7 linked regions of the Xenopus tropicalis genome follow. The protein of the gene in region 7 purifies or fractionates together with the protein of the main gene of each other region. This does not show direct contact. Links are inferred from orthologs where the notes say so. Each region holds a gene or a part of one and is shown on either strand. Other genes may lie near its edges. The genes, in order: parp1, numa1, hells, cul4a, xpc, camk2d and wdr76.

What was found.
Region 1: the proteins of wdr76 (region 7) and parp1 purify together in Homo sapiens (affinity purification with mass spectrometry; 4 studies listed by BioGRID and IntAct, with this or other methods). This does not show direct contact. The link is inferred for Xenopus tropicalis from reciprocal best matches to the Homo sapiens genes WDR76 and PARP1.
Region 2: the proteins of wdr76 (region 7) and numa1 purify together in Homo sapiens (affinity purification with mass spectrometry; 3 studies listed by BioGRID and IntAct, with this or other methods). This does not show direct contact. The link is inferred for Xenopus tropicalis from reciprocal best matches to the Homo sapiens genes WDR76 and NUMA1.
Region 3: the proteins of wdr76 (region 7) and hells purify together in Homo sapiens (affinity purification with mass spectrometry; 4 studies listed by BioGRID and IntAct, counting the BioPlex papers as one, with this or other methods). This does not show direct contact. The link is inferred for Xenopus tropicalis from reciprocal best matches to the Homo sapiens genes WDR76 and HELLS.
Region 4: the proteins of wdr76 (region 7) and cul4a purify together in Homo sapiens (affinity purification with western blotting; 3 studies listed by BioGRID). This does not show direct contact. The link is inferred for Xenopus tropicalis from reciprocal best matches to the Homo sapiens genes WDR76 and CUL4A.
Region 5: the proteins of wdr76 (region 7) and xpc purify together in Homo sapiens (affinity purification with mass spectrometry; 3 studies listed by BioGRID and IntAct, with this or other methods). This does not show direct contact. The link is inferred for Xenopus tropicalis from reciprocal best matches to the Homo sapiens genes WDR76 and XPC.
Region 6: the proteins of wdr76 (region 7) and camk2d purify together in Homo sapiens (affinity purification with mass spectrometry; 3 studies listed by BioGRID and IntAct, counting the BioPlex papers as one, with this or other methods). This does not show direct contact. The link is inferred for Xenopus tropicalis from reciprocal best matches to the Homo sapiens genes WDR76 and CAMK2D.

The regions. Positions count from the first base shown.
Region 1 is NC_030681.2:7,987,469-7,991,696, forward strand, and holds the start of parp1 (poly [ADP-ribose] polymerase 1), read left to right. Parts: upstream 1-1,428; 5' UTR 1,429-1,542; coding exon 1,543-1,662; intron 1,663-4,228. UniProt on the Homo sapiens protein: Poly-ADP-ribosyltransferase that mediates poly-ADP-ribosylation of proteins and plays a key role in DNA repair.
Region 2 is NC_030678.2:178,866,037-178,869,536, reverse strand, and holds part of numa1 (nuclear mitotic apparatus protein 1), read right to left. Parts: coding exon 3,397-3,500; intron 3,309-3,396; coding exon 3,168-3,308; intron 1,550-3,167; coding exon 1,427-1,549; intron 1,343-1,426; coding exon 1-1,342. UniProt on the Homo sapiens protein: Microtubule (MT)-binding protein that plays a role in the formation and maintenance of the spindle poles and the alignement and the segregation of chromosomes during mitotic cell division.
Region 3 is NC_030683.2:39,204,604-39,208,778, forward strand, and holds the start of hells (lymphoid-specific helicase), read left to right. Parts: upstream 1-1,375; 5' UTR 1,376-1,393; coding exon 1,394-1,424; intron 1,425-4,175. UniProt on the Homo sapiens protein: Plays an essential role in normal development and survival. Involved in regulation of the expansion or survival of lymphoid cells. Required for de novo or maintenance DNA methylation. May control silencing of the imprinted CDKN1C gene through DNA methylation.
Region 4 is NC_030678.2:116,028,784-116,032,283, reverse strand, and holds part of cul4a (cullin-4A), read left to right. Parts: intron 1-133; exon of another isoform or gene 134-205; intron 206-913; 5' UTR 914-1,014; coding exon 1,015-1,144; intron 1,145-1,796; coding exon 1,797-1,912; intron 1,913-3,500. UniProt on the Homo sapiens protein: Core component of multiple cullin-RING-based E3 ubiquitin-protein ligase complexes which mediate the ubiquitination of target proteins. As a scaffold protein may contribute to catalysis through positioning of the substrate and the ubiquitin-conjugating enzyme.
Region 5 is NC_030680.2:132,920,450-132,924,542, reverse strand, and holds the start of xpc (DNA repair protein complementing XP-C cells), read right to left. Parts: upstream 2,801-4,093; 5' UTR 2,702-2,800; coding exon 2,617-2,701; intron 2,066-2,616; coding exon 1,924-2,065; intron 911-1,923; coding exon 816-910; intron 1-815. Other genes in the region: U6 snRNA-associated Sm-like protein LSm3, read left to right, coding at 3,397-3,417. UniProt on the Homo sapiens protein: Involved in global genome nucleotide excision repair (GG-NER) by acting as damage sensing and DNA-binding factor component of the XPC complex. Has only a low DNA repair activity by itself which is stimulated by RAD23B and RAD23A.
Region 6 is NC_030677.2:69,358,044-69,361,478, reverse strand, and holds the end of camk2d (calcium/calmodulin-dependent protein kinase type II subunit delta), read left to right. Parts: coding exon 1-45; intron 46-241; coding exon 242-467; intron 468-1,121; coding exon 1,122-1,125; coding exon of another isoform or gene 1,126-1,129; 3' UTR 1,130-2,935; downstream 2,936-3,435. UniProt on the Homo sapiens protein: Calcium/calmodulin-dependent protein kinase involved in the regulation of Ca(2+) homeostatis and excitation-contraction coupling (ECC) in heart by targeting ion channels, transporters and accessory proteins involved in Ca(2+) influx into the myocyte, Ca(2+) release from the sarcoplasmic reticulum (SR), SR Ca(2+) uptake and Na(+) and K(+) channel transport.
Region 7 is NC_030679.2:118,344,340-118,348,532, forward strand, and holds the start of wdr76 (WD repeat-containing protein 76), read right to left. Parts: upstream 2,801-4,193; 5' UTR 2,589-2,800; coding exon 2,541-2,588; intron 2,166-2,540; coding exon 1,863-2,165; intron 1,306-1,862; coding exon 1,219-1,305; intron 442-1,218; coding exon 383-441; intron 1-382. UniProt on the Homo sapiens protein: Specifically binds 5-hydroxymethylcytosine (5hmC), suggesting that it acts as a specific reader of 5hmC.

The sequences.
Region 1 (4,228 bases), on a different chromosome or scaffold from region 7:
TAGTATGAGTAATTTGGGGGGAGCACCAATGTTTTAGGGGGCCCTGGGCTGGCCAGCATTGATTTAGGGGGTACCTGCCCTGGCACCAATGTAAAATGTAACCCCTGGCCACCAATGTTTTAGGGGGGCCCTGGCTACCAATGTCTGTATGTCCTTTGTATTGATGGGAGGGGTCACTGGGGGAGGGGCCATTGGGAGTGTGGGAGGAGGGGGGGCCCAGAAAATCTTGTTGTGAGGGGCCCCGTGATTTCTGATGGCGGCCCTGCCCCCATATAAAGGCACAAGGCTGCAGGCTGAGTTATACAGGGAACTCTGAGTATCACTCATGTATTATAGGGGGTAATGTACCCCCTACTGTAAATGATAAGGATATTAGCAGTCACTGAGGGGTTCTGTGCCCATATAAAGGCACAAGGCTGCAGGCTGAGTTATACAGGGAACTCTGAGTATCACTCATGTATTATAAGGGATAATGTACCCCCTACTGTAAATGATAAGGATATTAGCAGTCACTGAGGGGTTCTGTGCCCCCCATATAAAGGCACAAGGCTGCAGGCTGAGTTATACAGGGAACTCTGAGTATCACTCATGTATTATAAGGGATAATGTACCCCCTACTGTAAATGATAAGGATATTAGCAGTCACTGAGGGGTTCTGTGCCCCCCATATAAAGGCACAAGGCTGCAGGCTGAGTTATACAGGGAACTCTGAGTATCACTCATGTATTATAAGGGATAATGTACCCCCTACTGTAAATGATAAGGATATTAGCAGTCACTGAGGGGTTCTGTGCCCATATAAAGGCACAAGGCTGCAGGCTGAGTTATACAGGGAACTCTGAGTATCACTCATGTATTATAAGGGATAATGTACCCCCTACTGTAAATGATAAGGATATTAGCAGTCACTGAGGGGTTCTGTGCCCCCCATATAAAGGCACAAGGCTGCAGGCTGAGTTATACAGGGAACTCTGAGTATCACTCATGTGCTATAAGGGATAATGTACCCCCTACTGTAAATGATAAGGATATTAGCAGTCACTGAGGGGTTCTGTGCCCCCCATATAAAGGCACAAGGCTGCAGGCTGAGTTATACAGGGAACTCTGAGTATCACTCATGTATTATAAGGGATAATGTACCCCCTACTGTAAATGATAAGGATATTAGCAGTCACTGAGGGGTTCTGTGCCCATATAGTCACAAGACACAAATCTGACGCCTTGTTATTATCCTTACATAATACTTTGCCTCACACAGACACACATTCCTCACACAAACAAACATTCCTCACAATTCTCACACAGACACACAGATAAGCTAGGGAAAGTGACGTCACTAAGTGTGCTGGGGCCACGCCCTCCCTGCCCAGACATGGGCAATGGATTGCCGTTCCCCGGATGCCAGGAAGCAAAGCGGCCCAGACGCGCACTCTGGCGGTGATTGCTTGTGCCTGTTCTGTTGTGTGGCGGGCTTGGGGCTGCACGCTGTTCCAGTGGGAGCCGGAGTGTCCCTGTGTGTAGGAGCCGCTCCTCCCTGCAGCCATGGCCGAGGCCTCGGAGAAACTTTATCGGGCTGAGTACGCCAAGAGCGGCCGCGCCTCCTGTAAGAAATGCGGAGACAACATCGCCAAGGAGTCCCTGCGGCTTGCCCTCATGGTGCAGGTAGGGGCCCGGCTGGGCTGCAGCATTATTGCCTATGGGGGGGCTAGTGTGGCTCATACAGTATGGGCCATTATTGCCTATGGGGGGGCTAGTGTGGCTCATACAGTATGGGCCATTATTGCCTATGGGGGGCTAGTGTGGCTCATACAGTATGGGCCATTATTGCCTATGGGGAGGCTAGTGTGGCTCATACAGCATGGGCCATTATTGCCTATGGGGAGGCTAGTGTGGCTCATACAGTATGGGCCATTATTGCCTATGGGGGGGCTAGTGTGGCTCATACAGTATGGGCCATTATTGCCTATGGGGGGGCTAGTGTGGCTCATACAGTATGGGCCATTATTGCCTATGGGGGGCTAGTGTGGCTCATACAGTATGGGCCATTATTGCCTATGGGGAGGCTAGTGTGGCTCATACAGCATGGGCCATTATTGCCTATGGGGGGGGCTAGTGTGGCTCATACAGTATGGGCCATTATTGCCTATGGGGGGCTAGTGTGGCTCATACAGTATGGGCCATTATTGCCTATGGGGAGGCTAGTGTGGCTCATACAGTATGGGCCATTATTGCCTATGGGGGGCTAGTGTGGCTCATACAGTATGGGCCATTATTGCCTATGGGGGGCTAGTGTGGCTCATACAGCATGGGCCATTATTGCCTATGGGGAGGCTAGTGTGGCTCATACAGTATGGGCCATTATTGCCTATGGGGAGGCTAGTGTGGCTCATACAGCATGGGCAGTTTGTAAGTTATTAGCCCTGGGCTAATTGCCCTAGTAATGGGGTATAGGAAAGTGCCCCCTCCAGCCCAGTGGGTTATTATTGTGAATACGGGTCCTAAGGTGGGGTGTCATGGAAGGTTATTGCCCCAGGTTAAGGTATGTTGTGAAAGCCAATGGATAACATGCTCTAGGTAAGTGCCCCAGCTGGGGTACTTTTGAGTTCAGGTATAGGGCAGTAATGAGTTGTAGGGGGGCTTGTTGCCCCTGAATGGGGACTGTTGTCAAACGGTAGGTTTGTGATGTATAGTAGGTAATTGCCCCAGTGATGGGCTGTTATTGCCCTGTGTTGGGGTATTCTGTTGGCAAGCCAGGGAAGTTAAGGGAAAGAACCAGGGCAAATTGTTGGTCTTTCTCCCAGAATGGGGTAACATGGTACCAATACTGGGAATAAGAAGGCGGATCCTATATACAGTTTGTTTCTGTATCTGCCCAAACCCCTCCCCCAGGGAGAAGCCAGGGCAATTCTGGATGTTTACACACCCACCGTAGAGCTGCACAGCAAGAGGAATATTTGCCCCGTGTTCCCAGAGGCTGCCATTGGCCTGTATTTACAAGACTTTACAGTGCCGGGGGCCCATTGTAAGGCTATATACATACCGAGCAGCTCAGAACCCAGGGGGGAGCCGGGGCAATTGTCTCTACTAGATAACAAAGGCTGGTGTCACACTGGGCACTTTATTAGCCCCTGTGGCTCTGCAGCACCCACCCCCTTCCTTCATGATTACTGTGCTGAACTGAGACTAACTAGGTAGTATCAGTAAGGGATTTCCAGCTGAGTCCTATCTACATACAAATATACGGAGAAGGAATGTTCTGGGCACACAAAATGATGCCCTCCATACTGTACTGTCTAAGGGAAACACTATGGCACCCCCTACCCATATGTATAAATACAAATATACAGAGAAGGAATGTTCTGGGCACACAATAAGCTGTACCCCCATACTGTACTGTCTAAGGGAAACACTATGGCACCCCCTACCCATATGTATAAATACAAATATACAGAGAAGGAATGTTCTGGGCACACAATAAGCTGTACCCCCATACTGTACTGTCTAAGGGAAACACTATGGCACCCCCTACCCATATGTATAAATACAAATATACAGAGAAGGAATGTTCTGGGCACGCAATAAGCTGTACCCCCATACTGGTCAGCCAGTGCCCCCCCACATACATGCCAGGTGATGGTGGGGAGACCAGACTAAAGTGATCTCATCTGATTGCATTGGATTTGATCAGCAGTGATGTACATACACTGAAGCACAGTTCTAGGCATCAGTCCAGATAAACAGTTTTGCTTTGGTCTTTATTCAAGACCCCCTCTTTCTCTGTGTATGGGAATTGTATCTATTTTGGCTGAAGTTAATGCACCCGAGTAAGAAAAATTCAGTAAGTGGCCTTGTGCTTTGTTTTGCAGTCTGGAACATCGAACTTTGCTTTTAATATACAGGGATGGGATCAGTTATCTGAAAACCCAGAAAGCTCCAAATTACGGAAAGACTATATCCCATACTCAATTTTATTCAAATAATTCAGATTTTTAAAATTGATTTCCGGTTTCTCCTTAATAATAAAACAGTACCTGTACTTGATCCCAACTAAGATATAATTACCCCTTATTGGGGCAGAACAGCCCTATTGGGTTTATTTAATGGTTAAATGATTCCCTTTTCTCTGTAATAATAAAACAGTACCTGTACTTGATCCCAACTAAGATATAATTACCCCTTATTGGGGGCAGAACAGTTCTATTGGGTTTATTTCTTGTGTTAGCAGGTT
Region 2 (3,500 bases), on a different chromosome or scaffold from region 7:
CCTTCTTCAGATGTTGAATTTGTTCCTCCATCTGGCAGGAGTTCTGCACTATCTTCTGCTGAGACTCTTCATATTTGGCCTTCCAGATGTCAACCACCTTAGACAACTCGTCCCTTTCTGCTTCACGCTGTTTGATAGCAGCGCTGGATTCTGCCATTTTTGCCTGCAGGGTTTCATTTGCTGTATGGTACTCCTCCTGTAAGTGCTTCAGCTGAGATTCAATCTTCTGTCCAGCGGCCCTTTCTTCAGCAAGGTTACTCAGTGCTGCATCTCTGCTTTCACTCAACTTCTTCATCTCCTCTTCAAGGTGGGAAATTCTTTTACCGTCGCTATCAAGAGAAGCAGCAAATTTCATTTTCTCTTTCTCTAGATGTTCCCTAAGATGTCTCAGACTTTCGTCCATAGACAGGAGCTGTTCTTTAAGTTGCGAGTTTTCTTCGGACACCAATTCACAGGAGGACACCTTCTTCTGATATATTTTCAGTTGACTCTCCTGCTCTGAAAGCTGTGCCTTTAGAGACTCCACAGCGGCTGCATGAGATTTGCTCTGTGAAGCATTTTCACTATCCAAGTTCTGGCATTTAGCAAGCAGATCTAGAATGGTGGCATCCAGTTCCTGTAGCTTGGATGCCAGCTCTGCCTTTTCCCTTTTCAGCTCCTCTATAACAGAAAGACTAGCTTGATGATCTTGTTCCAGTGTTTTCATGGTCATGTTTAAGACACTGAACTCTTCATCCTTTTTGCACTTGTACTCATTGAATGTGGAAAGAGTGGAATCTCTCTCACAGGCAACTTTCTGCTGTTCTTCTCTTAAATAGTCAACTTCTTTCGCCTTGCTCTCTAGCTGTTGTGTAAGTCCAACCAGATTGCCCTCGGAAACCTTCAAAGAGCTACTAATTTGCTCCACTTGGTTTACAAGCTCCTGAATGTTCTGCTTTGAGGATTCTTCCAGTATTTTGAAGTTTTCCAAGAGCTGATTTTTTTCTCTCTTCTCTTCTTCCACTTGATGGTGAATGCCCTTCAGCTCTTCCTCCTTATGCACCAGGGAAGACTTCAGCTTGGAGATCTCCAGTTTTAATGTTGTAATCTGGCATGTCAGATGTTCCTGTTGTGCCCTGGCCTCGTTATCTTGCCTCTCCTTCTGAAATGTTATTTCTGACAATGAAGTCTGCAGGTTAGTGACTATCTCCTGCAGCTGACTTTTCTCAGATTCAAATCTGGACCTCTGTGCCTCCATGTCAATTTCTGTAGTGCTCTTTTCCTCTTCCAACTGATGGATCTGTTCTGTTAGACTGAGGCACTGGGTGCTGAGCGCAGTTACCTCTTGCTTCAAGTCTTCCAGCTAAAGGAGAAAAAAAAAAAACAAACCTCAGTAAAAAACGTATGGTACTAACAGTCTTTACAGTCTCCATGCATCCATCCATACCTTGAGGATGTCACCCATACAATCTCCTTTTTCTTCCACCTCTCTCTCCCCCATCTTCTTTAGCTGATCCTCAAGCATTGATATTTTTCCCTGCAGTATTAAGTGATGCTCTTCCAGATACTTCTGCAATAACAAAACAGATATTAACGCCAAATCCACAGAACAATCTTTGTATACTTTTATATAACGGAGGAAAGGACCTTGCAGAACATACAAATCAGAAACAAAATATCACTCCGGAGAAACGTGTCAACCAACCAGTCGCAGTTTTATTTTATACTGCACATCGTGTTTCAGAACCAGTGATCCTTCATCAGGATCTGAAGCATGTTGTGTATATAATAAAACTACAACTGGTTGATTGACATAGTTCTCCGGAGTGATATTTTCTTTCTGATTTGTAAAGTCTGGATGGCGTGACGGTGCCTCTACTCTGTAAGAAAAACCTATGTACAGAAAATAACGTGGTAAACTTCACTCACTATTTTATTGTGATCCTCACAGAACATATTTTATCTAGGTGAATTAGAAGGAAAAAGGAGGGCGTTCTCAAAAGGGAGGTAGGAGTGCACCAAGAGCCCGGGAATGTGTACGGTGAAAGCTTGGGAAGGCAGCATGTAATGACAATAAAGGGTAGTAGTGAAGGGTCCAAGGGAGACATATCTGGGAAGGGCATGGGATTTGGCCTGTGCCATCTTTCAAAAGGGCTGAGCCACCCCAGGGACATGTGTGCAGGGAAAGATTGGCAGAGCCAGCGGGAGTCGCATAGTATGCCTGCTGTCCAACTTGGGGCCCCTCTCAGCACTAGTCAACCGTCTACCAAAGTGAAGGAGGACAGGTAGAGGCAAGTAGGGCGGCTTCAAGTGAGGGATGGAGCACAGAGACCCAGTAGACCAGGGATCCCCAACCTTTCTTATTTGTGAGTCACAGTCAAATGTAAAAAGACTTGGAGAGCAACACAAGCACCATAAAAGTACATGGAGGAGCCAAATAAGGGCTGTGATTGGCTATTAGGCAGCCTCTATGCACCCTATCAGCTTACAGGGGCTTTATTTGGTAGGAAATCTTGTTTTTATTCAACCAAAACTTGTCCCCAAGTCAGGAATTCAACAATAACTGGGGGCACTGAGAGCAACAGCCAAGGGGTTGGTGAGCAACATGTTGCTCACGAGACACTGGTTGGGGATCACTGCAGTAGACCTTCCAGTAGGAGAACAACCCCAAGAATCCACACCACATGGATGTCCTGTCTAACCAACAAGGACCCATAAGTCCCCTGGCTGCCACTTTTAGCCACTGGTCAAACAGGCAGCCTGTGTGTTCCCCAGCCCCACGGAGGACAGCACAAGAAGGGGCAGAGTTACAGCCCCTGTGGGAGGGGTCAAGTACAAGTTGAAGTCAGTTATTTTTAGTCTTCTGCATCCTGATGGTGGACGCTATATTCCTACAGTTCCTATATCACCTCGATAAAGGAGAAAATACCCTTCCGAAATACTTTGAAAGGGACACTAAGCTCACAATAAATATTGGTTCATAAATGCTACACCTTAAAAGGCATATTATGAATTATCAAAGGCTACCATGCTGCCTATCACAGCAACCTTCTGCCATGTCCATTATCTGGCCAATGGAGCACATCACACAGAACATGAACAACGTGTTATGATCGTTTGTTAGCATCCCCGAAGGTCAAGCTAAACCAAGCAGCCCAACACATCTGATTAAGCCATTAATTCATTACCTTTTCACCGACTGCACCACTCAGCTCACTCTCTAACTGGCTCTGTTTCTGCTCCCAGTTGCTCAGAGAAAGCTCGTGTTCCTCTGTGGTTTCATAGAGAGCCTCCTGCAGTTGTGCCAAGCGGTTGGATAAGTCTCGCACCTGCACAAAGACACATATGGGATGATATATATATGTATATGTATGTGGGGAAGTGAAACTTGTCATGTGACATGGAGGATTACAAGACCTTGTAAGAGAGCTCGCCATTCTCCTCGGCCAATTGATCGTTCTTGCGTTCCAGTTGTTTCTTGTCAGTCTTCATATCCTGACACTGCTTGAGGGTGTCCCGAA
Region 3 (4,175 bases), on a different chromosome or scaffold from region 7:
GGGAGCAGGAGCAGCAACAGAGCGTCCAGTAATAATCTAGCAGCAAGGCTCTGGTGGCACTGGACGATCTGGTCTTGCTTTGCCTCTTGTTCCCCAAGATGCTGGAGGAGATTGGATAACATGACTTCAGGAGCAGCGGAAGAAGCAGCAGCACCTTCAAGGTCCATGTTGGGCCCAACGTAATGTCACACACAGTATCCCAAAACCCAGAACAAAACCCAAGGTCCCTAGTCTGAGCTCACTCTTCTGCCTATAACAGCCACCTTTCGCTTCGGGAGGAGCCCTCTGCTACTCAGGTGCCGCCAGGACTTAATGTGAGAGAACCAGGGCAAATGTTCTGGGCAGGCTAGGGAACCTAAGCGTACAAAATCAGAGGGAGAAGGCAAAGTCACAAACAGGCAAATGGTCAAAACTGTCAATACTACCACACAAAAATTTTCATACACCCTTTAATAACCATTTCAAAGCTAAAAGTACAATGGCCACAAAACCTGCCACTGGTGAGGAGATGAAGGCTCCTAAAGGAGGATTAATGCAGTGAGACATAAAATCTTAATGTGTATGGCCACCTTAAGTCCCGATAAGGCTAATGGCCTGCAGAGTTATGACTTTTTTTTAATTTTACCCACTCTTTTCCTAAATTAGCCCTTATGCTATAACTTAATTGTAAAAAACTAGCCTTTGTCTGCACAAAAAAAAAAACCCAAAAAACTGGGCTTCTGATGCCACCATGAACAAAAAACTCAAGATACTTTTGGGCATTTTCAGTCATTATCTTCAACAAAACTAGCCAGTGTTTTGTTAAATATAACTCCATTAATAGGCATGGTTTTGTTGAAGACAACCCCATTACTTAACAGCTGTCTGTGCCATCTCACAAGGGCCCTTCAGCCATTCACCAGAATTTAGGTAAAGGGCAGGCCTAGGAGCTACAGACGATTTCAGTGGTGTAATACTATATGCCTACGGACTGGGGCAAATGTGATCGTCTGTTATGTGTTGTTAGCACGTCAACCTAACATGTTAATTATATTTTGTATAGTTTTCAATAAAACATAAAAACACTATATGCCTACAAACGCAAGGAGTCACATCGCGAAACAAGCCCTCTAAATAAACCTTCTGTCTCACGCACAAAAAATAACTAGAATAAGATGGCGATCAAGAGGACTACAGTCCCGCCTTCCACTATAACTAGCCCAAGGTAGCTATCTGTATTTCCGCTAATTCTCCCGCCATTTCCCCGGCGAGCAGGGGCGGAGCTGCGGCGTCACTATTTGGGGCGTGGCAGCCTGAAAGCGAGGGGCGTGGCCAGCCCGTTGTGTGACTGAACGCGCGAGTTCTGTAGAAAGTTTGGCGCGAGTGGTGGCGGAGCTGAGGGAAACGCTGCACCATGCCTGTGGGACACAGCTCGGCCGGACAGGGTACAGAGACATTGCCGCATGTTCTGTAGCTGGGGTTTACTTCTCTATTGCTATTCGGAAATGTTATAAAACTAGAACTCGGGGAAGCTGAGAGTTGTAGTTTAGTAGCAAACCCGTTGTCTATAAATGCTTGCGGACATGCATGCGTTATTTTCTTATGATTGTTGTGGTTGTGCAAGCATTTCATGCAAGATTAGGAATAAGTCTGAGGGATGGGGGGGCTGCCACCTAGTACAGGGCTGGGTTTGGCTAGAATAAGGGGGCTTTTGCTGTTCCTCTATTTCCAGGGCCTCTTTGAGGAAAAAAGTTGTTACATGTGTAACAATTGTGATTGTATCTCTCAGATTTGTTACAATAGAAGTAACATGTTTCTTTCCCCTGTGTAATGGGCTCCCCTGCCCCTGTGTAATGGGCTCCCCTGCCCCTGTGTAATGGGCTCCCCTGCCCCTGTGTAATGGGCTCCCCTGCCCCTGTGTAATGGGCTCCCCTGCCCCTGTGTAATGGGCTCCCCTGCCCCTGTGTAATGGGCCCTCCTGCCTGTATTAGCTCTGTTGTACAGCACCCTGCTCTCCTGCCCCTGTGTAATGGGCCCTCCTGCCTGTATTAGCTCTGTTGTACAGCACCCTGCTCTCCTGCCCCTGTGTAATGGGCCCTCCTGTCTGTATTAGCTCTGTTGTACAGCACCCTGCTCTCTCTGCCCCTGTGTAATGGGCCCTCCTGCCTGTATTAGCTCTGTTGTACAGCACCCTGCTCTCTCTGCCCCTGTGTAATGGGCCCTCCTGCCTGTATTAGCTCTGTTGTACAGCACCCTGCTCTCCTGCCCCTGTGTAATGGGCCCTCCTGTCTGTATTAGCTCTGTTGTACAGCACCCTGCTCTCTCTGCCCCTGTGTAATGGGCCCTCCTGCCTGTATTAGCTCTGTTGTACAGCACCCTGCTCTCTCTGCCCCTGTGTAATGGGCCCTCCTGCCTGTATTAGCTCTGTTGTACAGCACCCTGCTCTCCTGCCCCTGTGTAATGGGCCCTCCTGTCTGTATTAGCTCTGTTGTACAGCACCCTGCTCTCTCTGCCCCTGTGTAATGGGCCCTCCTGCCTGTATTAGCTCTGTTGTACAGCACCCTGCTCTCTCTGCCCCTGTGTAATGGGCCCTCCTGCCTGTATTAGCTCTGTTGTACAGCACCCTGCTCTCTCTGCCCCTGTGTAATGGGCCCTCCTGCCTGTATTAGCTCTGTTGTACAGCACCCTGCTCTCTCTGCCCCTGTGTAATGGGCCCTCCTGCCTGTATTAGCTCTGTACAGCACCCTGCTCTCTGCCCCTGTGTAATGGGCCCTCCTGCCTGTATTAGCTCTGTTGTACAGCACCCTGCTCTCCTGCCCCTGTGTAATGCTGTTCTGCATGTACTTACGTATTGAGCAGAGCCCTCTTTTCCTTCCATATTTATTAGTATCTGTATGTTTGTATGCACCCTTCAATTGAACTCTGGGATTTGTTGGTGCTATATGAATATATAAAGGTTAGAAGGCACCAGGTGTTGAGTTATAGTGAATGCTGTCTTCTACTGTGTCTGGAGCAGGTACAGTAGAAGACAGCAGTGCCCCTGTTAATGTACCCAGTGTACCAGTTGGTGATAGGGCACCACTCCACTTATGTGTTCAGAGGCAGGTTACAGGGCTATGGCGCAAGGGCTTTTTTTACCTCTGCAGCAGTTAAAATTTCATTTTCCACTTCTAATGTTTTATAATAAGTGTTGAAAGCATATGGAACAGTGACAGGCAACCAATGCTAAAAAAAAGTGAGCTTTTTGATGCCCTGCCCCACCTGTCACTGCCGTGTGAAGATGGATTAGTGCTATATACCATTAGGGGCAATGACATGCACACGGATTACAGTGATATAACAAACATAACAAACTCCCCTATGTGCCTAAGATTAATAGGATATGTGGTGTTTCATATGCCTGTCACTTAATTAGAATCCTGTTCGCACTGGATAGATTCTGCACCAGAAAGAGTCCAGTTGCCTAAAACACATCAGCACAGTAGCCAAGTTACTAAAATCGTAATCCTTTTTTGCTGTTGTCCTAATCATGAGTCCTGAATCCTATTTTGCCATTAAAACCCTTAAAACTAGATAAAACATTACAGCATCCGCCAGCTAAGGGATGTTGTGCTAGAGCTCGCAGTATTCAAGGCATGTTGGTGTAGTTGTAGTTTAGCAGCTAGAACTCTGTCTATTGTGCTTTCTTGCATCAACTTCTGAGTTCTCTGTCGATGTATTTATGAACCTTGGGACTTTCGCTTGACTCATGGTGATTTATATAACTACTGGTAGATTTGACTACCCTGAGGGCATGTGCTTTTCATGGGTGTGTTCTGTTACAAAAGGGATTATCAACCTTTGTAAGGTTAGCACTTTGTAGAAGCTACAACATGTTAATATGCATGAAAAGTATGAGGTTTTTGTCCGTTTCTATAAAAGTGTGTATCTAGTATTTAACCAACATGGAAACAGAATTTAAACTGATGCAGGTATTATGCAGAATGCTTGGGACCTGGGTAGTGCTGGATGGGGAGGGTCTTTCTGTAAGTTTGATAATCATACCTTGTTTACTAAAAATCATCTAAACAAAGTAAACCCAATAGGATTGTTTTGCCACCAATATGGATTCTCTTAGTTGAAATCAAGGTACTGTTTTATTACAGTGTAAAGGGAAATCATATTGGAAGATGATTGATATGGGGAAGCTTTCCCTA
Region 4 (3,500 bases), on a different chromosome or scaffold from region 7:
GAATAGTGTCATGTAATTAAAGACACAATGTGTTATATTATGAGAATTACTTTATAGTAATAGTCACTTTTAGTTTTATGAGGGTTTTATTTCCTAATTCTGATGTGACTGTCTCTATATCCTTTTTATGCAGGACTGTCTTACTTTATGGCAGGGTCTATAGACTCAGGATCAGAGCAGATGTCTCACAAAGCACATGGACAGGGTCGGTTATACTTTTATATTTATTTTTACAACACTGATACTTAAAGAGCTTAGCATATGAGAGTGGAACAGGATAAGAAAGTTTAGCTGAAGCAGAGCAAACTGTACAGTGAACTTTTTGTTTTTAATTTAAAATGTATTAATTTCCCAAACTTTTTCCAAAAATGTCAAGTACTTGTTAAACAGAAACAATAGACGAGATACAGTCCCTATCATGTACCAGTTACTTGATTTAAAAAAAAAAAAATGACAATACTATTACATTGGGGTGGGGAATTTGTAGTGAAATTTTAGTGTTTATTTTGAAGCAATTTTTTGAAGTTGCTAAAGTTTTGTTTACCCAATTTTTCTGGGAGAATAACTCTTCCTAGAGCCTTGTAGCAATGTATATACAGTGAAATTTAAATATTTACGGGCTTCAGCAATAAAGGAGCAGTAACCAATAACAACCAATCCGAAGGTAAAATTTACTGATCACCTGTTTGAAAGCAAGCATCTTATTCGTTGCTATAGGTTACTGCTTATGGCCAAACTTGTGCCTTTTATTACATATGAGGGAAGTTTATAAAGGTCAGACCTACAATGTAACTAACAATATGGATAAAGAAAATGGGGTTATAATGGTAATTGTTATTGATAACCATATCTCATTAAAGTTTTAAATAAACGCTAACATGCTTTTTTATCTCCGCAATTTTGTAAAATATAGATTTCCAGTGAGAATATGGGGAAAGAGCTCTGCTGACACTCATTCTTGGAACCTAATTTTTCATGTCGTTTAATCCTTGAGTGGCTCACCAGTGTACCACTATGGCACAGGAAGCTCAGAAAAAAGCAAACTTTTCAACACTTGCTGGACATACAAATGGTCTCACAAAGTCCTCTGCCTTGACCTCTAAGCCTTCAGCTTCCAAAAAGTTAATTATTAAAAATTTTAAAGGTAGGTATTTCTTAATCTGTTTTTTAACTCTTACATGCTATGAAGGTTAATCCATTGTTGAAGCATTTTTATATATAATGCTGGCTCTATATAGACGGGGGTTGGGGGCAGTGCATAAATTGTTCATCAGTAAGCAGACACATTTGTGTTAAGCTGGCCATACACGCACCGATAATATCGTACGAAACCTCGTTTCGTGCGATATTCGGTACGTGTATGGCATGTCGGCGAGTCGACCGATATCGCAGGAAGCTGCTGAAATCTGTCGACTCGCCGATCGGCCAGGTTAGAAAATTTTGATCGGGCACCATAGAAGGCGCCTGACCAAAATCTGCCATCAGGGCTGAATCGGCAGAAGGAGGTAGAAATCCTATTGTTTCTACCTCCTTATCTGCTATTATCTTATCTGTTATTTTTAGGTGCCTGACACCAACCTTCATTTGCATGTATATAAACATAATAGTTACTGCCTTTTTAAGGAGTATATCACTTTTTGCCCCTGGAATATGCTGTTTGATTCCATACATAAATACCCTGAGATCACATGTAATTAATTCTTCAAATTTGTTACATTTTACATGCTCTGCTAGTAACTAGACCTTACATGGTGTTGTCTGCATGGCTGCTCTGACTGTAACATCTGAAATTTCAGATAAACCAAAACTGCCTGACAGCTACACTCAGGACACGTGGCAAAAGCTCCAGGAGGCAGTGAATGCCATAGAAAGTAGCACATCTATAAAATACAACCTGGAGGAGTTATACCAGGTATGACTTTCCTTTGCTATTTTAGTAAAGTCTTAACCAGCCACCCATTCTGTCCTGCACTGTTAATTACCCTGGCAACCCAAACCTATCCAGCTCATGGGTAGACTTTTTCTCTGGTACTTAGCAAAACGCAATGGTATTATCAGGTATATTAATAACTACAGTTACTGTATAGTACTCTATTGTGCTAATGTGTACTAACATGGAGCTTGTTCAGATGGTATATAGAGCAGTGCTGTCTAACTTCTGTGGTACCGAGGGCCGGAATTTTTCTGACCTACGTGGTGGAGGACCGATAATGGAAGCCAGTTTTGACCACTCCCCTTTTTGAAACCACACCCGTGTTGTCACATGACCATACCCATATTAATGGTTGTAGTACAGCAAAAACCTGCCATACTCTGCCTTCCCTAACCCTGCCTGTGTGTGCCATACTCTGCCTTCCCTACCCTGCCTGCGTGTGCCATACTTTGACTGTGTGTGCAATTCTTGGCGGGTTTGTGCCATGCTTGGCCTGTGTGTGCCATACTCTGCCTGCCCTACCCTGCCTGTGTGTGCCATACTCTGCCTGCCCTATGCTGCCTGTGTGGGCAATACTCTGCCTGCCCTATGGCACACACAGGCAGCATACAGTGACACAATGCTGGCACTGCTCCTACAGTCTGCAAAAAACTTTTTAATTGCAGTATCACCTCAGTATATGTTCTTTTTGTAGTGTGCAGGGATTATTTGTGGGTTTCTACTGCTCCTACAGTCTGTCTGAGGTGTGAACAGGGGAACAATGTGGGTGATTACAGTCTGAGCCTGAGGTGTGAACACTGCAGGGGGTGAACAATGCAGAGATTAAAAGGTGAACAACACAGCGGATTACATTTTCAAAAATACAGAGGGTTTACAGCCTGAATCTGAGGTGTGAACCATGCAGGGGGAGCAGTTAATCACAGTACTGTGACCGCACTGATATAGAGGGTTCCAGACATGTTTAAAATGTGAAATAGATAGACATCATCACACAGAAAAGTAGCACATTATGTTTTTTTTCAGCAGTCACTATTCTTATACCAGTCTCTCTTCTACCTGAGAAGTGTAAAGATTAAAAAAAACAATTTTCTCTACATTTTGTGTGTTTAAGGGGTTGGAAGGCTTGTCTAGGAATAGCATTGCTATCTGTAATCAAAGCAGTTAGTACTGGACATACTTTTTACTTATTGTTTAATCACTTATTGTTTAATTTTTTTTTTTTCTTGAGCTAAACAGGGAGATTAAAGCTACGCAAAATTTAGCACAGGTATCCCTTATATGGAAACCCATTATCCAGAAAGTTCCAAATTATGGAAAGGCCAATTCTCATAGACTCCATTATAAGCAAATAATTCTAATTTTTGAAAAGGGTTTCCTTTTTCTCTGTAATACTAAAACAGTACCTTGTACTTGATCCCAAATAAGATAGCATTAATCCTTATTGGAGGCAAAACAAGCTTATTGGAATTATTCAATATTTAAATTATTTTTAGCAGACTTAAGTTATGGAGATCCAAGTTATGGAAAGATCCCTTTTCCGGAAAACCCCAGGTCCTGAGCATTCTGG
Region 5 (4,093 bases), on a different chromosome or scaffold from region 7:
TTATCTACTGTAGAAAACTCACCAATGTGAAATAGTGGTCCAGGTGCTCCAGCCCCAGACCCTCATCTCTAAGTGAGTGACCAAGTCCCATTCATAACAGGAAGGAAAAATGGCCTATGATTAAATGTCATTTGGACACAAAACACACAAGGCTTGTGAGATGAAGGTATAAATAAAGTTTCTCTTGATTTTTTTACTCTTTTTTTGTTGGTGTATACGCAGTTGCCTTGAGTGCACACCCATTTTTCCTTCCTGAGAAGATTCGCTGCTATAGTTTGGAACTGAGCATGCCCAGTACCCAACAGCCAAAGCACATTTGTGAGGTAGAGGGGTGAGTGGATTAGAGGAGGAAAAGGAATCCTAAGTGATTAAGGGGATGCCTTACTATTAACGTGTAAAGATTTGTAAAGGTTTTAAAAAGACTGTTCACTGATTACATTGTTTGTGGGGGTGGTTTACATGTCCTTTAGGGCTGTGGCACTTACATGATTCTCGCCAGTGGGATGGCATTTTGGGGAGATTTGTCACCCACGACAACGGAGATTTGTCGCGGGCGACTAATCTCCTCGTGTGCCACAGCCCTTAAGGCACCAAGTTCATCTGCCCACAAAATCAGATGGGTGTCTTTCTGGAGCTTATTTGAACCATGAATGTGAAAGACTGGAATACTGCAGATTGAATAGTGTCGCTGGACACTATATCGTGTCTGGAAATTTGGTTCCCCCTCATCATCCCCGCAGCCAAAGTGCCCTAAATATGGATCAGTCAGACTGTAAATGGCTCACTAGATATATAAATTCATAAAAGTCCATTACCTTCCACATCCTCCCACTCATCTTCACTCTCTTCTGCATCCTTCGAGCCACTAAACTTTTTAACAGGCGTCTTGATCTTCAAATTTGGTGGATCTCTGTAGATTGCACAGCAAGAATTAAAAAGACTAAAACTCAAGAATGAGGCCATGAATGATAATCTAAATGTTTTTTATATAAAACCTTAGCCACATTTGGCAGAAAATTGACTTAGCAAGCAGACAAAAGTCTTGTCGCTAGTCTGACTCAGGAAATGACTTTTGTGAGCAGACGGAAGTCTTGCGATGAACTGACACAAGAATTGCTAGATGACTCCTTTCTTCTCACTAAAGTGGATTTTTTGCCAGCTGATTGGCAGAACTGAACAGCAGGCAGGGACACTGTTGTTTTAAATTCATTATATGAGAAGAGTAAAAACTACCACTATCTTGAAAACTAGACAAAAATAATTATGTAAATGGAAAAAATGATGAGTAATTTTATATTTATTTGTATTAAGTGCTTACATTTGACTTAAGCACATATACTACTGAAATCAGTACAGATCTGAGCATAAATAACATTGCATAAGAAATTTCTTAATTAAAGTGGGTTAGTAAATCTGAACTATAGACTAATAAACTACAGATATGAGCATGTGGGCTTATTTATACATGCATGTAAAAGCTCCAGCTACCTTGTTGTGCGCTGCGCTAAGACCACTTAAGGTGGCCATACACATAGCAATTTTGATCTTTCGATCGTTCCCACCCTCCAGTAACGTTCAGGGCTGAGTCGTCAGATATGGAGGTAGAAACAATAGAAATTCTACCTCCTTCTGCCGATTCAGCCCTGAACGTAGATTTTGCTCGGGGTGCCATATCAAAACCTTTTAACCTGGCCGATCGACTAGTCGACCGATATCCACAGCTTTTTGCAATATCAGTTGCCTCGTCAAGCCCCATACACGCACAGAGAATCGTATGAGGTTTTGTACAACATCATTGGTGTGTGTATGGCCGGCTTTATCCATATTGGCCATATTGACACAAGAATAAGCAAACATGGAGCAGACTTAGTGCATCTCTCCTGCATTGTTGTAAAACCAATCAACTCAACCAAGATGACTCACTGTGTTTGTTTTCCAACTGTTTTCCCATCATTTACAGTCGGTCTCTTGGCTACACAACTTTGCTTCGTCAGACTGTCACCGCAGGAATCTTTACTCTTCTTAACTGGGGGTCTCTTCTCTTCATAGAATTTATCTTCGTCATCTACATGGTTAAAACAAGATGCCCCTTTATTAAATAGGAAGGATGAAGAGCTAAGTGCAAACGACCTGTAATGTTCCACCAGAGCCCAAAGCATTGGTAGTTAATCATTTAGCACAGAAATAAAAGCCCATGCACAATTCAAGGGCTAACTCTGCCTATCTTTTAATATTGTCCAGATGGCATAATACTAACACAATCTGCAACTGGTCTTTATTTTTTATTTCATCTGGTCTCTGAATTATGTTGTCAAGGTTTGTATTTAATTTATCTGGTTTCTAGGGGTTACCTTAGCAATCATAGAAGAATCTTAAAACCAGTATAGTGAATAGTACAGGGCTGATGCCCATAGGGTTCAATCTGCACTCACTACAGTATTATTCCCAGCCTATTTAGAAACTCTGCACAGTGTCCCCATACAGTACCTATAAGAATTAAGTCTATTTAAGTCTGTGAATTAAGTCTGTGTTTAGATTTCATTTTACGTGTTACTGTATATCATTCACAAGATGAATGAAAATCTCTATAGACATGCAGACCCCATAGAAACTCACCACCATGCAGGGAGTCTATTGCCGGGCGGTTTCTCTGCTTGTTCCCCGCTACCGCAGCACCCTCAGACCCCCTCCGCTTTGCCATCTCCCCACAATTCTACCTCACATGTCCCCTCTGGTTGTATAACCCACACAACAGGAAACAATCTGTCTCAGACAATAACATTAACGCGTCACTTCCGGAACATACACATGTGCACCCCGCTGCCAGGCCTCCGCCACTTACTGCCCATACTCTCACATTATTGGCTGAGCTTCACATTCCGGCCTCCGACACTTACTGCCCATACTCTCACATTATTGGCTGAGCTTCACATTCCGGCCTCCGTCACTTACTGCCCATACTCTTACGCTATTGGCCGAGCTTCACATCCAGGCCTCCGCCTCTTACTGCCCATACTCTCACACTATTGGCTGAGCTACACATTCCGGCCTCCGTCACTTACTGCCCATACTCTCACGCTATTGGCCAAGCGTCACATCCAGGCCTCCGCCACTTACTGCCCATACTCTTACGCTATTGGCCGAGCTTCACATCCAGGCCTCCGCCTCTTACTGCCCATACTCTCACACTATTGGCTGAGCTACACATTCCGGCCTCCGTCACTTACTGCCCATACTCTCACGCTATTGGCCAAGCGTCACATCCAGGCCTCCGCCACTTACTGCCCATACTCTCACGCTATTGGCCGAGCTTCACATTCTTCCTGTGGCACATAAATATCGCGATAGGAGAATTGTCAGGGTTCTCGGCTATTTCCTTTGCGCGGGGTTTTGAAGATGGCGGACGACGGAGAGCAGGTAGGGATGTGGGTTTATAAGACTGGAAAACAGGTTCTGTTCGGTTCTCGGCGCAGTGCGGCATAAGGGGTGCTCCTGGCCCGGTCTCGCTTGGGAACGCGTATAGGGTTTTTTTATGTTGCGGGGAATTAAGTGAATGTTTATTCAAACTGGACTGTTTTCTCTTTTATTTCAAAGCCTTTTTTTTTTTTTAATCGTGAAGCACCGGTGGAGTGTGTTTATATTCATAACTAGCGATGTAAATCTGATTAAAAACCCAGTTGTTGTGGTCAGGAGTAAAATGAAATGTATGTTCTGTGTGGCTGATGGCGTCAATATATTCAAACAATAGAAGCACAAGGCTTGTTTTAGTTTCTATACCTCAGATTTCTGAGTTTATCTCCCAATTGACTCTTGACTCCTGTTTTTTAGGGACACATCCTATAAAATTTAAGAATATACTAGTGAATTATACTCCTAGATATAGGATTGTGCTTAAAAAAAAAAAAAGTTGTTTCGGACTGATTTGAGAATCCCCCCAAACCCCACTAGCCCCGCCCATCTGTTCCACTTCCTGCTGGCTGAATTCTCTGGATGTGCAGGGGAGCCGGGGCACTCTAAGATAGGAACCAATCAGCAGCTAGGCTGACCTGATAGGGAACTGAAGCCTGTCTGTGCTTTTGTGAGTGCAGGGCTG
Region 6 (3,435 bases), on a different chromosome or scaffold from region 7:
ATCTAGTAGAAGGAATGGACTTCCATCGATTTTATTTTGAAAATGGTATATTTCCCTATTCCCAGTTTTGTTTGTGTGTCTTTTTTTTGGAGCCAAAAAATGCTCCCCTTGACAAAAGTTACTTAAATGCCTGAAAAAAAATCTTTTGCACAGATACATGCTGAGGGATTAGAAAAACAAAGCTGTAACTGAAATGGTTTTCCAATAAATCAATGCATTGTTTTATGTTACTGATTTTTAGCGCTGTCCAAGAGCAACAAGCCAGTCCATACTATTATCTTGAATCCTCATGTTCATCTGATTGGAGAAGATGCTGCATGCATAGCATACATTCGTCTCACCCAGTATTTGGATTCCACCGGTATGCCAAAAACAATGCAGTCAGAGGAGACCCGTGTGTGGCACCGTCGTGATGGAAAATGGCAGAATGTACACTTCCATCGTTCTGGGTCACCAACAATACCGAAGTAAGGCTCATCCCAGTAAGCTGCTGGTTTATATTTGCCGCCAGTTTACTTCAGTGTTGAAATATGCATACATATATTATGACTAGACCTGCAACTGCAGTAGAACCTCAGTTTTCTTCCACAATTCATGCTATTGTAGTTTCCAAATAAACTGAAAAATTTATTAACCTGTTTCCTGGCTTTATATTATGTTTCTTTGCTCCTCTGGGATGAGGATAATCACAATGAAAATACATATTACAATTAATATTCATTATGTTCCAAAATTATTTAAAGCATACTGTTGGCACATTTTACCTTAAAGCCCTATGCCTCGTCACATCAGAAGGCACATATTTTTTGAGTTTGCCTTCCATTCAAGTTAATGTGAAACTCTACTGACAGCACTGAACCCAAATTAATTGCACACCCTGGACTTTTTACGGCACTCCCTATTGCCGTAAATGAAAGAAGACCCACAGAATTATAACTGTATATAGCAGCAGCCAGAGCAACTGATAAACCATACCCCTTCCTACATCTGATCATCATCTGCTAATGCAATATAGAATAAGGCTTATGTTGTTCATAGAACAAACATACCTTAAATGTGCTTCCAAATATGGTTAATATGGAATAAAAAAATGTGTTTAACCTTTATTCCTTTCTTTTCAGCTAAATAAACCTTGCAAGCCTTTATTTCAAATATTCAAGACAACTGGATGGTAAATTTTGGACTCAATCCCTTATCCTTTGTCCCAGCAGCAGGGTGTTTCCATAATTAAGAACATCTTCCTCCTCCGAGATCTGCTGCAGTCTACTCCTGCTCAAGTTCGTAACATTCCAGTAAATGGTGATTAAAGTGGATTCAATAAAATAAGAAGGCAGTTACAATATTGTTTCATTCAGTGGTTCATTATGATTTTGCCAAGTGTCTGTCAACTGAAGAAAGTCAGCTTTGGAAATGACCCATATCTGTGTGTATCTATAAGTGTACACACAGGCAACAGTTTTTTTTTCTATTAGACTTGATTATAACAAAAGTTTAGAAACAGATCAGTATAGATATAGAAACATATAGGCAGTGACTGCCTGGTTTCCAGACTATTGTGTCATAACATGGGAAATATCGTAGTCTAGCACAAAATACAATTTAGATCCTTGCTATAACAGTCATACACAGTAGATGTTGTACGTCACTTTGAATTACCTTCCAAAATAATGAAAATATAATTTAGATAGTCTGAAAGATTTTTGGAGTAGTTTTCTCTATTTCTTCTATATATTTTTTTTTATATACTCCACAGATAAATGTTTAATGAGTGTATATTGGTAACGATTGGGGGCTAATATAGGTAGTTTTTTTGATAATTAAGCATATGAAAAAGTACAATTTTACATTCAGGGTATATAATGCTTAAAAGATATATGTATTTTTTGTGTCCGTATAGTCTTGAAACAATACTTAAACTATTGTGTACTGTATGTTGTAAAGGATATGGGCTTTAAAGGTTATAATAATAGGGATGGAAAATATAACTACAATTTTTGTGATGGGTATTAATAAATCTATTTCTGCACTGCTTTAATTTTACCAATAACTTTCTACTGATGCTAACCTGTTTTGTCCCAGTGCACACTATTTGCTTTTGGTTAATGATCTGCTACAAAACCACAATTGTTTTTTTTATATAGATATATAAACTAGAGGGAACTTTCAACACTATATGCAGGGAATGCTATTGTTGTCTGTAAATGTTTTCTAACGGAAACTTTGGTGAACTGGATTTATATTGATCATATTCAGTATCTGTGCTACTAAACCTGAGCCCCCACCAGGGGTTGTGCTTCATTTCAACATTAGATACATGGTTATGTTGAACAAGTTTAGGGGCTGGTTACTTTAGTGCTGTGCGTGCATGGTGGAGCGGTGTCATTGTTTTCCTTGGTTTGCATCCTGAAAAATAAAAAGACTTTTGAATTCGCATTAATCCAACCTTGTGAAACTCCAAGCAATTCTTTTACGACTCTACATGTTGTTCAGTAGTGGATGTGAGCTGAGTAATGCTAACAAATAAATATACACACAATTTTCTACACTATATCAACCAATTAATGTGCTGAGCCATTTTAACCTGCCAATGAAATCTGTGAAATTTTAATAACAGCAATTTGTTTTCTGTATATCTTTATTCTAGATGTGCTTCCACTGTTAGTATTTAGTTATCGTGTGCTGATATTAATGTCCAGTTACTATGGTAGCTTCATATACTTAATTAACAAAACTAGCATGAAATGCTGACATAGTACTGTAGACCAAATCTGTCTTCCACACGGCCATGTGAGGAAACCATTACTAAACCTCTGCACCATGGTGAATATATCATCCTTTGAAATGTCGCAATATACTGATGGGCACAGTGTATATATTTCTTGCCATAAAAAGATTGATATAACTAAAATGTCAATAAAATCGTGGATTAAGTTGATGGTGTTGCGAGTGTGTTTTCTCTTTTATTCTTTTGAAATTAGAATTACTGTGGTAGTTTAAATATTAATTTATAACTAGAAAGAAGTTTGAGAACAAACTTCATGTTGGTTTAAATATATTGGAAAAACCACTGTGCAAAGTTTGGGGACCGTAGTATTAATAGTTAATAAATGGCAGCAGTTTAAATTTAAACCAATAAAAGTCAATAGGTAAATTGTGATTGGTGGTTGGTGGGTGTGCCCACTTTTTCTAACCTTGATTCAAATCACCCAGTGACAAACAGTGGGCACCCTGGCATAAATAGTGTGAGAATGGCAGCATTTTAAATTTAACTAAATAAATAAAATTCAATAGATGAAATCTGATTGGCTGTTAGTGGCCCAAACCACTTTTCCAATTTTTCACCTGCAGTCCCCCAGTGACCAACTTTGCAAAGTTTGGGGCATAAAAATTGTGGGGCTGACAGCATTTTACACGTCACCATTGAAAGTAAATAGG
Region 7 (4,193 bases):
GACAGAATACTTGCTTGGATTTATGAGTCATAACTTACAGAAAAGGCATGAGAGTATTTTTCGTCACTTTGCAAGCAAAGCCTGCCAATACATTAACTTTTCAAGTACATTGGTGGACATTATAGACAAATAGTGGGAGAACAGGAGCACACCCCTATATCAAGTTTGTGGAATATCCTGCCGGGTGATGTTATATTCTATTAATGCCTTTAAGAGTGGCTTGGATTATTTTTTTGAACAAACACATTACATAGGGCTATTGTAATATTAAAATCTACAGTTCATTTAGTTATCAGTATATGATGAATATGAAATCCAGTCCCTCAACTGCATTATTATTTAAAACTGCAGCAAATATGTTAAAAATCGCTGAACAGATTACCTTTTAATACCACGGGTCTGATTTGATTTCTTTGGGGGTGAACTAAGACTTGAGGCAGTCTGTAATAAAACAAATACAGTGTTCAAATTAAAAAAGAAATTTATATATATATATATATATATATATATATATATATACATACATACATACATACATACATACATACACACACACACACACACACAAGTACAACGTAAAGTAAAAGACAAAATTTCAACGGGTGTGAAAACTAACAGTTTTTTAGTGAGTAGTGAGCCTGGAAATTTTTTGGCAAACCGCCAAAAAATAAAGACTTCAAAATAACTAATAAAAATAAATATAAAGAAATAAGGAGTGCAAGGCGGCCAGAGATTTAGTGCAAGCACAACTAGGTTATACAGGTATAAGCCTGTCTCCCATAGACTCCATTTTAATCAAATAATTCAGAATTTTAAAACTGATTTCCTTTTTCTCTGTAATTATAAAACAGTACCTTGTAATTGATCCCAACTAAGATATAAATAATCCTTAGTGGATGCAAAACAATCCTATTGGGTTTAATTAATGTTTTATTGATTTTTTAGCAGACTTAATGTATGGAGATCCAAATTACGGAAAGACCCCTTATCCAGAATACCCTTGGTCCTGAGCATTCTGGATAACAGGTCCTATACCTGTACTGCATTATTTGGGTATTTGCCAGGTAACTATTAGTACTAATAATTTGACCATTTCCTTCAAAGTTAGTTACATCTGGCTGCCAATGTTGGCTAGGGGTTCAGACTAAATACTAAGTAATTAAGAGTGGTCTGGCTCTAACACATGGAATGCTTGGAGAGAGGAAATAAAAAACACACCTCAAGTAATTTTAGTGATGCCAGAAACTTTGCATTTTCTTTAATGTTGTTCAACCTTTCAAGTTCATATTCTGACAGTTCTGTAACCTGCAAAAAACAAAGTATAAAGGTCTGGTAACAATTTTTTGTACAATAAAAATCTATAATAATGCTACTCCTCATCAAAACGTGACCAGCAGACAGGAAGACTTAAAAATAGGGAGTCCGTCATCTGTAGCTGTTAACCTTTTTGTTAACTTTTAGTATGATGTAGAGAGTAAAACTTTATGACAATTTGCAATTGTTTTTTATTACTTGTGTTTTTTTAATTATTGTACTTTTGTTCAGCAACTCTCCAGTTTGGAATTTCAACAGCTATCTGGTTACTAGGGTCCGAATTACCCTAGCAACCAGGGAGTATTTTGATTCAGTGGCTGGAATATGAAGAGTAAAGGGCCTGAATAGATAGATAAGTAAAAAAAAACTATAGTAACTATAACAATAAAATTGTAGCCTCACAGAGCAATAGTTTCTTGGCTGCTGGGGTCAGTGATGCCCATTTGAAATCTGGAAATGGGCATCACTTAACATGAAATTGAAAGCAAGTGACAACCAAAAAAAGGTTAAATGTTTTTAAGGCTATAACGAAGGTAACAGACATTTACCTGTTCGGGGTTTTGTTTATAATTTTTCTTTGGCGCAGGAAGAGTGTCTGTTTCTGTCTTCTGATTTTCAGGTCTCACTTGAGACAGCAAAACAATGGGGTGTTTTCTTGTTGAGGACTGTTCTTTTGGGAGACGTGATCTCTTAGTAGGTGTACCATCTTCAAGCTTGTCCGTCTCTAGAGTGCGTTTCTGTGGACGATTGGGCGCAACACATGCTTTATTAGGAGAATGCATAACAGCATGGGTACGGCGGGTACTACGACGTAAACCCTCAGGAACCCGACTGTCTTTAGGTGTAGTTTCCTATTGGATAAGAAAAAATAAATATTCTTAATATTTCAATTGTTTACGGACTTTCTACTTAAGACCTTTGAGTAATTGGCTGTTAATCTTTTTTCTGGTTCCCTAAGACACATAAAATAGGATTTGACTGTATGAATTGATAGCTCTGGGTACAAGCTTTGCACCAATGAATGTCCACTTGTTTCACAGAATATGCCAGTTGTTGGTGTGTTCACAAAATTGTTGTATTTACAGCAACATTGTGTGAAAAAGTGATAATATAAAAATTAACCAATCACTGCAGTTTATGGGGAGGGGGTGGGGGGTCGCTGTTTTTGTCTTCATAAAAGTATTGCTGTTATTCATGGCGCACATTTTGTCTATCCTGCTTCTCACCTGCTCTATCTGCGCTGTCGCTTTCTTGCTCTCCATGTCTGAACTCATTGCGGCGCGGTCCTGCGTTCTCCTCTCAGGCAAAGCCTCTCCTTATGCAACACTCTCCCACTTATATAACTGAATGCCAGAATGAGCATCTACTAAGCCTCAAAAAGATTCCCGCCGCTTCAAGTTGCATAACCAGGAATAGCAGTGCGGAAGTGACGTTGTCTAAGCGCAAAGTTTCATTGGAGGAAAAGTTGCAAGAAGTGACAAGGCTTCCATAGTCAGCTGGCTAAATGATTGTGTCAGGGTGCAAGCTCCTTCTGTCCAATTCAGTTCATAAACACACATAGTGATAGTTCGAGTCCTTCATAGTGTCCCAAACAACAACCCCACCAGTTTCTTAATCCCTTGCTTCCATCCGCAAAAAAGTCACACATTTCCTGAAAAATATATCTTAATAAATTATGTAATTTGCCTCACAAAAATATATGTACCAGCTGTGGTAAAATATGCGGCAATTAGAAGTCAGTAAGGAGAGTAATTTGGCGGGACTGGGCCTGCAAAAAAAAAAATAAAAAAATCCACCCTGCATATAATCACAGGTACTTTCCACACACGCAAAATTGTGCAGCACCAGTGGGGTTTGCTTCTTTTGTAGTCAGGGCCGCCATCTGAAACTTTGGGGCCCCCCATGAACACAAGTGCCAGTACCAAAATATTGGCCACGCCCCTTGTGTGCACTATAAACAGCTGGTTACTCTATAATAAGCAGTTCATATTGAGTTCCATTGATTAATGTGCTAATAATTCAGTTAGTTTATTGGGGGTCAGTGGGGTTTGCCCTATGTTTAACTTCTTCCCATCTACCTGACCCTGCTCTGTGCTGTCATTGCTTGTTATGGAAGTTAGGTACGTTTTTGCATAAGTTACGTAAACTGATACAATTGATCAGGCACTGATATAATTTAGTAAATGGATCCCAATATAAACAGAAGATGTTACTCTATAACAGTGCTGTCCAGCTTCTGTTGTACAGGGCAGGAATTTTTCTGGCCTAAATGGTTGGGGGCTGATAATGGAAGCCTGTTTTGACCACTCCCATTTTTAAACCACACCCACTTCAAACCACACCCATGTTATCCCAAGAACTTTTAAGACCATACCCACATTAATGGTGATAGGGCAGCAAAAACCCAAATGGTGCTAACTGTAGGGTCGCCAGTTAGAAAGCCCTCCTCTATAATAAGCAGTACATATAAATAGGCACAATTGTACCCCCCTGATGGTGGCCCTGTCGGTAGTTGTGCCACTTGTCGCATTCCTTTATATGGGCATGAAACTTACTGGTGACTTGCATAAAAATCACTCTGTGGGAGATGGGCTTTCCATGTGTCAAAGCTTTTTGGATAATAGGAATCTGCATAAAAGATATCATAAGGGGCAATGCTGCCAAAAGGCCAATTGAGAAACTCGCCCCAGGGTTGGCAAATAGCTGCTCCCTGATTTTTAAATTAGAATTTTGTTAGTCGCCAAACAAGCAGATCTTAACGTGTATAACGTGTAAAATACGTGGGAGTGAACTTTCTTCCATATACAGAGCTCTAGCATTTCCAAAAAAATGCTAAATATGGTAACATCATGGAACAACCTCAAAATATCTAGGCTGGG